Linked DNA regions of Canis lupus familiaris. The protein of the gene in region 2 purifies or fractionates together with the protein of the main gene of each other region. This does not show direct contact. Links are inferred from orthologs where the notes say so. Each region holds a gene or a part of one and is shown on either strand. Other genes may lie near its edges.

What was found.
Region 1: the proteins of ENO1 (region 2) and TPI1 fractionate together in Homo sapiens (co-fractionation; 4 studies listed by BioGRID, with this or other methods). This does not show direct contact. The link is inferred for Canis lupus familiaris from reciprocal best matches to the Homo sapiens genes ENO1 and TPI1.

Annotation. Positions count from the first base shown.
Region 1 is NC_049248.1:7,936,050-7,940,447, reverse strand, and holds the start of TPI1 (triosephosphate isomerase), read right to left. Parts: upstream 2,869-4,398; 5' UTR 2,820-2,868; coding exon 2,705-2,819; intron 1,574-2,704; coding exon 1,450-1,573; intron 1,337-1,449; coding exon 1,252-1,336; intron 1,178-1,251; coding exon 1,045-1,177; intron 750-1,044; coding exon 664-749; intron 372-663; coding exon 284-371; intron 195-283; coding exon 76-194; 3' UTR 1-75. Other genes in the region: USP5 (ubiquitin carboxyl-terminal hydrolase 5), read right to left, coding at 4,397-4,398. UniProt on the Homo sapiens protein: Triosephosphate isomerase is an extremely efficient metabolic enzyme that catalyzes the interconversion between dihydroxyacetone phosphate (DHAP) and D-glyceraldehyde-3-phosphate (G3P) in glycolysis and gluconeogenesis.
Region 2 is NC_049226.1:62,805,124-62,809,249, reverse strand, and holds the start of ENO1 (alpha-enolase), read left to right. Parts: upstream 1-1,167; 5' UTR 1,168-1,326; intron 1,327-3,534; 5' UTR 3,535-3,543; coding exon 3,544-3,628; intron 3,629-4,126. UniProt on the Homo sapiens protein: Glycolytic enzyme the catalyzes the conversion of 2-phosphoglycerate to phosphoenolpyruvate. In addition to glycolysis, involved in various processes such as growth control, hypoxia tolerance and allergic responses.

The DNA.
Region 1 (4,398 bases), on a different chromosome or scaffold from region 2:
GGGGTAGGAGCACAGTTACTGAGCTTCTGAGCTACCTAGTCCCTGGCTTAGCAGGAATAGGGGAGATGGATGGGCTTATTGTTTGGCGTTGATGATATCCACAAACTCAGGCTTGAGGGAAGCCCCACCCACGAGGAAGCCATCCACATCAGGCTGGCTTGCCAGCTCTTTGCAGGTTGCTCCAGTCACAGAACCTGGGAAGGGAGAAGACAGAGGGAATGGTCAGGGAAAGGACAGGAGGCTGAGTTCACCCCCATCTCAGGCGGGAGCCAAACCTGTTTACCTCCGTAAATGATACGGGTGCTCTGAGCCACTGCATCAGAGACGTTGGACTTGAGCCATCCCCGGAGCTTTTCATGTACTTCCTGGGCCTAGAACAAGAAGCCAGACCAAGTAAGCCCTTTTCTGCTTTTCACTCAAAGGCTAAAAGACCCTGGGCCCCAATGAAGAAAGGTAGTGTGGGGCAAGGACCCACAGATCTGAGCCAGAATACCACAGCTCCAATCCCATCCAGACCCTGGAATGGATGTCCTTGGACAAGTCACTCTCCTCAGGGCCTGGGGACTCCTGTCTTTAAAATGAGCAGTTGGTTCAGATGATCTCTGTTGCACTCTAGTCCTACCGAGGCAGGTAAGATGGAGCAGAGCTCTTGGTCTCAGTTACCTGTTGGGGTGTTGCAGTCTTGCCAGTCCCAATGGCCCATACAGGCTCATAGGCCAGGACAACCTTGCTCCAGTCCTTCACGTTATCTGTGAGACAGAGATCACAGATGGAAGGGTTAATGGGAAGGAGCTGGCCAGCCTGTAGCCCAGGGAATGAAGAAAGATGGTGGCCTAATGCCCCCTGGTGGCTGTTGGAGGAACTCCAAGTGGCATCTAAACCATCTGGGCAGGAACAGACCCGATATGGAGGATGCAAAGGTTCTCACCCTCCCCCTTCCTTTCCAGTGTCAGCATGGAATCAAGTCAGGCCGCAGAGCATCTCACCCTACCCTCTGTGCCTCTAGCCCTAGCCAGGCTCAAAGGTCCCCTTCTCCAGAGTTACCTGCGATGACCTTGGTTTGCTCGAAAACAACCTTCTCAGTGATGCCAGCTTCCCTCTCATCTAGCTTCTCCCCAATGCAGGCAATTACTCCGAGTCCCTCTGCCAGGGCGTGGGCCACTTTCTGTCCAATCAGCTGTTGAGTAGCAGATCTGGTGAGACACCCCTCTTGGAATAAGGGGTCTCTTACCTCCCATTCTGGTTACTCACCTCATCCGACTCCCCAAAGACATGCCTTCTTTCCGAGTGCCCCAGGACTACCCATGTGGCTCCGCAGTCTTTGATCATGCCAGGGCTATTGGAAGAGATAAAACCATGCTTCAGGAGAAAGCCCACCCTGTAGCCTCTCCCTCAACAAGGAAAGTGAGGGCACGGTCCCCACCCGCCCCTCTCCTGCCTGCATCTCACCTGATCTCCCCAGTAAAGGCCCCGTTAGTCACTTTGTAGCAGTTCTGTGCAGCCACAGCAATCTTGGCATCTAGCTTCTGCCGAGCGAAGTCGATGTAGGCAGTGGGAGGTGCACAAACCACTTCTGGAGAAATGATGGCACAAGAGGATGAGGTCACAAGGAAGCCCTTCTTCAGACTCCATCCAGTGTTCTGGAGTCCTCTTGCCTTCACCTGATTTCTTAGTTCTCCCTATCCCTTCTCACTCCAGCAAGATCATCTCTGTCCACTTAGCAGCTCAGGCTGGGCCTGTACCCAACTCCTTGAGCCTTCCAGGTGTCCCTGGGAGGCCATGGCCCTGGCCCTGCCCTCTGCTCTTTAACAGCTGTGGTTCTGATTTCTCAGGGCTATTCTGGGCCTGGGCACCTCCTAGACTCAGCATTCTCTTGAAGCCAACCATGCCTCCCTTCTAAAATTGTCCATCCCTACCACCCCCAGGCAAGGATTTTTAGCAAAAGCAGAAGGAGCAGACACTCCTGGGGTTTGTACTGGGGTCTGGGGAGCATAAACCAGGGCCTCTTTTGATCAAGCCCGGGTTTCTGTGAGTTAGATGAGTGGGAGGGTGAGGGCTGAGGACAGCACTCTGGGCCCGCGGGTGGCACGAAGTTGACTGGCTCGTGGAGGCCTTGCGCTTTCCCGTTTCCAGCCTGCACAACGCTGTGGGATCGCTCCTCATTCCCCCAAAGCGCCTCTCGTCTGGCACCTGCTGAGCCCCTTGGTCGCAAGGCGGGCGTCATCGCGCCGGCGAGGGGAAAGGATGGCGCGGGGAGCGCAGGCCACCGCCGCCCGGCCGCCGGGGATTCGGCCCGCCCCGCGAGGAGGCGGCGCGGGAGGAGGCGCGAGGAGGCGGCGCGGGGAGGCGGCGCGGGGAGGAGGCGCGGGCTACGTGCGGCGGCGCACGGGGCGCACGGCCCAGGGGGCAGGCAGCTGGGTCCCCGCACCGAGGCTCGGCCTCCTCCCCCGCACCCCGGGCGGCCGCCAGCAGCCCGCCGTCGCCCGCAGGGGCTCGGCTCCGACCCCCGTCCCGAGTCCGCACCCCGGGCCGTCTCCCCCACGGCGACCCGAGAAATGCTCTCCCGCCCCGCGGTCGGACGGCACGGCTCGGTGCGGCGCCGAAGTCCCGACCCCGACGGCCCTCGGGCGCGGCCCCGCACCCAGGGCACGCGGACAGCGGCCGCCGCCCCGCCCGGCCTCCCCCCGCGGCCGGCGAGGCTCACCGGTGTCGGCCGGCACCTTGGCCGCGTTCAGGGTGGTGATGAGCTCCCCCAGGTTCTTCTTGCGCCCGTTCATCTTCCAGTTCCCCCCGACGAAGAACTTCCTGGAGGGCGCCATGGCGCTGGGAGCGACACACTGAAGGTCAGGAGCACCGCGCAGCCGCTGCCACTGCCCGCTTATGTAGAGCGCCGCGAGCCGGAACTCCGCCTCCTCCCCGCCCCCGGCCACGGCTCGGCCGCCCCCGCCCGCCGGGAGGCCCGCCCGCCGCCGCCGCCGCCGCCGCCGCCGCCGCCGCCGCCGCGGGGTTCGGAAGCGACGCCCCCCATTGTGGCGGCGTTCCAGGGCGGCCGGGGGCTCGGGCGCCGCGGAGCCACCGCCTGGCTTGGGGGAGGAGGCGGGACCCGGCACTCGGGGGCGCCCCACCTCACGATTCCAGCACCCCCGAGGGCCGGAGGGTTTCCCCAGGGGCGCCTTGGCCGGAGGTTACGCTGCTGGCGCGGGCTGAGGGCGCTCCGCGGGGCAGGTCTCCAACTCCGAGGAAAGGACCTCCCTTCCCCCGCCGGAATAGCTGCATCCCTGATCGCTGAGCAGGCACCTCTGACCTGTGGGGCGGGGTGCGGAGTGTCGTCCCAGTTACTGGGCCAGTGGCAGGGTTCAGAGCGGGAGGGACGGTCCACACTGCCTCGAAACTGCAGCGGAGAGAGAGGCAGTTCAGACCCCCTCCGTCCCCAACTCCGGGGGTCCCCCCTCTGCTCCAGCTGGCCCGCCCCACTGGAGACTGCAGGGCCTAGGGGACCCGAGACATCTGGGAAATAGCCACTTGGGACCTGTCCAGTGTGGCCGCTGGAAGGCAGGTAGAGCTCTTCACCCCCCACGTTTGCTCGGTGTCACCCCCCTCCACTGGCTCTGATTGGACAGCCCCTACCCCTCAGCGTTCCTCTACTGCCCCCATGTTCACCCCTCCTCATCTCACACTCCGCTTCCCAAGAGCTCTAGAACTACTGAAAAGTAGAGAACAGCCAAAGGAGGGGGGCAAAGAGGCAAGGGGCCCAACGGGCTATCTTTCCAGCCCCAGGCAAGGTCAGTCTCCCCCAAGGTATCAAAAAGGACACGACTTAGCCATTATACTTTTATTCACATCGTGTATTTTGGCATTTTTCCAGAGAAGGGGCAGGGAAGAGACTGGGTGGGGGAAAGACAGGCCGGAGGGCAAGGGGGACTCCCATTTCCTTCGCAGCCCTCCCTGCCTGGCCACACAGGGAGCAAACACTAAGAGGGAGGGGAGGCACAGATGCCCCCTCCTGTGGAAGAGGCTGCATGAAGCTGCACCCACGCGCACGCACACACACAAACGAGCCCCCCTCCAAACCAGGGGCCGGCAGGGTTACACAGAGAAGCAGAGCACTGTGGGTTCAAGGAGTGGGGTGGGGGGGACAAGGAAGTCTCCTCACAGACAGGTGGCCGGCCCCTCCCATCCCCCTCCTGCTCTATCCCCAAAGTCTCTCAAGTGTCCCCCGCTTTGCTTGGCCATTCTCCTATGGCCTCTAGCTTCTTCCCTGCTGCTGAGGACAAAAAGAAACAGGGTACAGAGCAGGTGGGGGGGGGCTGAAGTCCATCGTCCACCCATCAGCCCCTGTCCCTCATGCCAGATGGTCTGTCCCCTGTCCTCCGTGGTAAGGGCTCAGGGCAGGCCTTT
Region 2 (4,126 bases):
TCTCTCTGCACAACAATGCTGAAAATACGGAGATATAGGACATTATTTTAGCTTCCGGATTTCCAGACCAAGGAGAACGCTGACAAATACAAATCTAACGATTATAGAAAACGAAGTAATCGCCTCAGCCCTTTCTTGGAGAGCAGAATGTGCTGCAGAACTGATTCTAAATGCAGTTTAAAATGCATTTTAGCATTAAATGGAGTTTTCTCCACCAGCAAGGTGAATGAAATCACTGCACCGTTTCTCCTGTTTCTCCCTTGCCAGACGACCGTGGAATACTACCCGCTTTGAACTCTGAGAAATGCCTCGGGTCTGTGGGAAATTCCAGTCCCAAATCACTGTACGCGGTTCACAGGGACGGGGGGAGGCACGGAGGCACACGAAGTCTGCCTTCCAGATGCAACATTAACCCTGAGACGCACGTGGAGAAGTGCCGGGCACGCTGGAAGGGCTCAAAAAGCATCAGCTCCTAACTGCACGGAAGTAAACTTCCTTCGCGCCACCTCGCGCCCAACCCCATGCCCGTGGTCTGGCCCACGCTCAGACACAAAGACTCGCTCGCCCGCCGGCGCGCGGAGGGCGGGGCGGGGGCGAGCCGGGGCGCAGCGCGCAGGCGCAGGCCGCCGCACGTGGGCCCCGCTGCAGACCCGGCCCGGGAGCCGCACCGAGGCGCGCGGCCGCCAACGTCGCCAGGCCGACGGGGTCTCCGGCCCCACGCTGCGGGCGGGGCGGGGCGGGGCGGGGCCGGCCGGGAGGGCGGGCCGCGAAGGTCGTCGCCAAGGTCGTGGGCCGGACGTGAGGCGCCGGAGCGACGCTGCGTGCGTGCGGGACTCGGAGTACGTGCCGGAGCCCCAAACCCTCATGCCGGCCGCGCCACCCCGCCCCTTCCCGGGGCCCTGGCGCCACAGGCCGGCTCGGCCAGGGGTCCCAGCCGGGGGCGAGAATGGAGGGCGCCGGGGCAGGGACTCGCCCGCACCCCCACACAGCCGCGGGGGGGGTCGCGACCCCCCCAGTCCCGCCCCGCTCCACGTCCCCGGGTCTTCGCTGCCCCTCCCGGCCGCGGGGGCCGCTACAGTCCCGCCCCTTCCCGGGAAGCGCAGGCCTGAGTGACGGCGCGCTGGGCCAATGACGAGGCGGCGCCGCGGGGGCGGGCTGGGGGGCGGGAAGTGGGCGGGGCATCGGGGAGCTGGGCAGGAAGTCGGGGCCGGCGGCGCTGAGACGAGCTTCGGGTCCTCGGAGCGTCCGGACCGCGCAGCCTAACGCTCGTCCTTGGTGCCTGCGGCATCCTCTGCTTTTTCCCCGGGCAGCGCTATCGGCGGCCAGGTAGGGAATCCAGGAAGGGCTGCCGAGCCGGCACCCAAGCCTGGGGGCCCTGCGCGTGGGTCCGGGGTGGGGACGTGGGAGGGGCGGGTCGGCACGTGCGGGCCGGGCTTCGCCGGAGGGGCAGGAGCGGAGTCGGCTGAGATGAGGGGTTCACAGGGCTAATGGGAGCTCGCGAGTGGAACGCGGGCCGTGGGGGACGGCGGGCCGGACGCTGCAGGGGCTTGGGGAGGTGCGGGCCTAAGCCCGGGGGCTCGTTAGAGCCAGGCCTTTCCCAAAGTGGAGGGAGGGGCAGGGACGGGATGCCCAGAAGCCGCGAGCCCCTCCCCCACCAGCAGCCCCTGCGCCCCGCTGGGGGCCCCGGCCTGCAGGCGGGAGGCGGGAGGCTGGTGACGGAGGGGGCAGCCTCTAATGAATGGAACTTCAGAGGGTGCTTGTTCTTCAGCGGACTGCGGCCGAACCGTTGCGTAATTGGGAAAGCGGTCCAGGCGACCTCGCCCAGGTCATGCAGGAGCTGCTCCGGCTCCCCGGCCGGGCTCTCGGCAGTCGGCCACCGATCTGACGTTAGAAGGACATATTTTAAGAAAATTCCCTGTCTGCTGTGTGAATTGGGGCCGGGGACACCCCTCGGCCCTGACTGCCCAGTCCACACGTGCTGCCCCTGGTCCGGGGTTCAGCCCAGGCAGATGAGCCGTGAACACTCCATCCATTCTTGCTGGCCTTGCTTACTGAACCGTAATGACATCGGGAGTAGTTTTCTAACCTTTTTAAGGATAAGTTGAACTTTTATTTTCACAGCTTGAAATAAGTCGCTGTGTATTAATATTACTAAATTAAACGAAAGGACATCTTACAACAGCAAGAGGATGTATTGTAATAAAGATGTGCTTAAAGCGCATCTAAATGCACAATGTAAGTCTATGGTGGCCTAGGGATGGGGGGGGTGGGGATTGACTGCAAAGGGCCTAAAGGGACTTTTTTAGGTGGTGGCCATCAGACACAGGTATATGATTTGCCAAAACTCAAAGTTACTAAAATCTTATAATTAAAAAATACATTTAAGCAAATTTGCCTTTTTGTAGGATAGTGAATAAAAACTAGATACCTTTTTTTTACCTTTTTATTGGCTAACGAATGAAACTTCATTGTTAAATAGTCCCCATGCACCCGAAGTGATTTCACTGTCTAATTTTGAAACTTATTAAAAAAAAAAAAGATGCCATTTGCTGCCTCAGAACATTCCAGACAAGATACTGGAGAGGAGCCCAGCTAGATAATGGCTCTGAACACTAACCCAATTCCACTGGGCTGCCTTCAGTCAGTCCTACAAGGTCCTTTCTTTCTTGGAAGCCCCTGGGGCTGGGAGGTGAAAAGGCTTTCTTTGAGAACTAAGGTGATTGCTCTTTGTAACTGCAAATCTGTTTTTTTTTTTTTTTTTTTTTTTTTTATAAGATGCTTTTAAGGAAAGCCTCCTCCCTTGGAGTATCCTAACATTTGAGGATAGAATCTAGTTTGATTTCAATTATGACATTTCATAATTAATTTTTTTGAATGGGTAAAATGCCTGTTGAAAGTAATACTAATTAGATGTTATTTTTGGTGTGTCCTGTCTTGCTAAAGATCCAAGTACTGTGAAATGTGAAAGGCCCAGAAGTTGGCAGTAATAGCAAAGACCACATTGTACAGACCAAGGACACTCCTGGCCTCAAAATTTCTTTAAGTATCCCAGTATCCACCGACTGAACATCTTACGGCTACCTCAAGTTTAACTTGGTGAATTATGTCCCCAACTATGAATTCATTATTTCGCTACAAGCCAGATTTCTCTCCTTGTATCACCTTGCATTTTTTTTGTCCTGGATGGGTTAGCTTCTGACCTTCGAGTCTCCTTGGTCCATTCCCATGCTACCCTCGGTGGGAGCTATTGACAGTAACCTGCTTCAGACTGTCTCAGCTTCAACCATCCTGTGTGCAGACAACACATTTCCAGGCTTTGCTTTGCTTAAAGGACCAGCACCAGACTACTGGGGTTTGAGGCCCTACAGAGCTGGGCACAGCAGGCTTTCCCCACTCTTGGCAGCCACCTTGCATCCCGTATCTGTCCAGCGCAAATTCTTTCTAGTCCAGGAATCCTCAGAAGCGATTCTTTGAATGAATGACCCAAGGCTGCATTATGGTTTATGGGAAGTATGAACTGTGTTTCCCCCACAGAAAGTCACCATGTCTATTCTCAAGATCCACGCCAGGGAGATCTTTGACTCTCGCGGGAACCCCACTGTTGAGGTTGACCTCTACACCTCCAAAGGTAGGTGCACCTTTGTTTCAGGACTTCCTCTCCCACACTCCCATCTTTTTAAAATTTAAACAACAGAGTCTTGGGCAAGAAAAGGTCTGTTGTAAAAGCCTTTCCTTCTGATGTGCACGTGTGCTAGGCTGTGGTTCCTGAATGGGAGGAGGTGGGGGAGGGTTACAAGGCATGGGGTCCTTGTCTTGCTGCTTCTTGGTATCTAAAACAACTTGCTCCCAGGTCAGTGAGAGTTGGGTAAAGTAAGATCATACCTCGTCCCTAAAAGGGCCCGTCACTGGTTTGCTTCACAGCTTGCTCTGCCTGAGCAAGCATATCTGGTGTGGTTGGATGGAGCTTTCTTCCTTGGAAAGGAAAGATGAGAATTCAAGTATATGCAAAGCATTCTCATTCCTGCTTCTAGAAATCATTCTTAGACCAAGGACTGGGGATGCTATTCCTACATTTGAGTATTGGCACATTCCAGAGGCTCTTGTTTCTTACCTGGCTCTAAGTCCC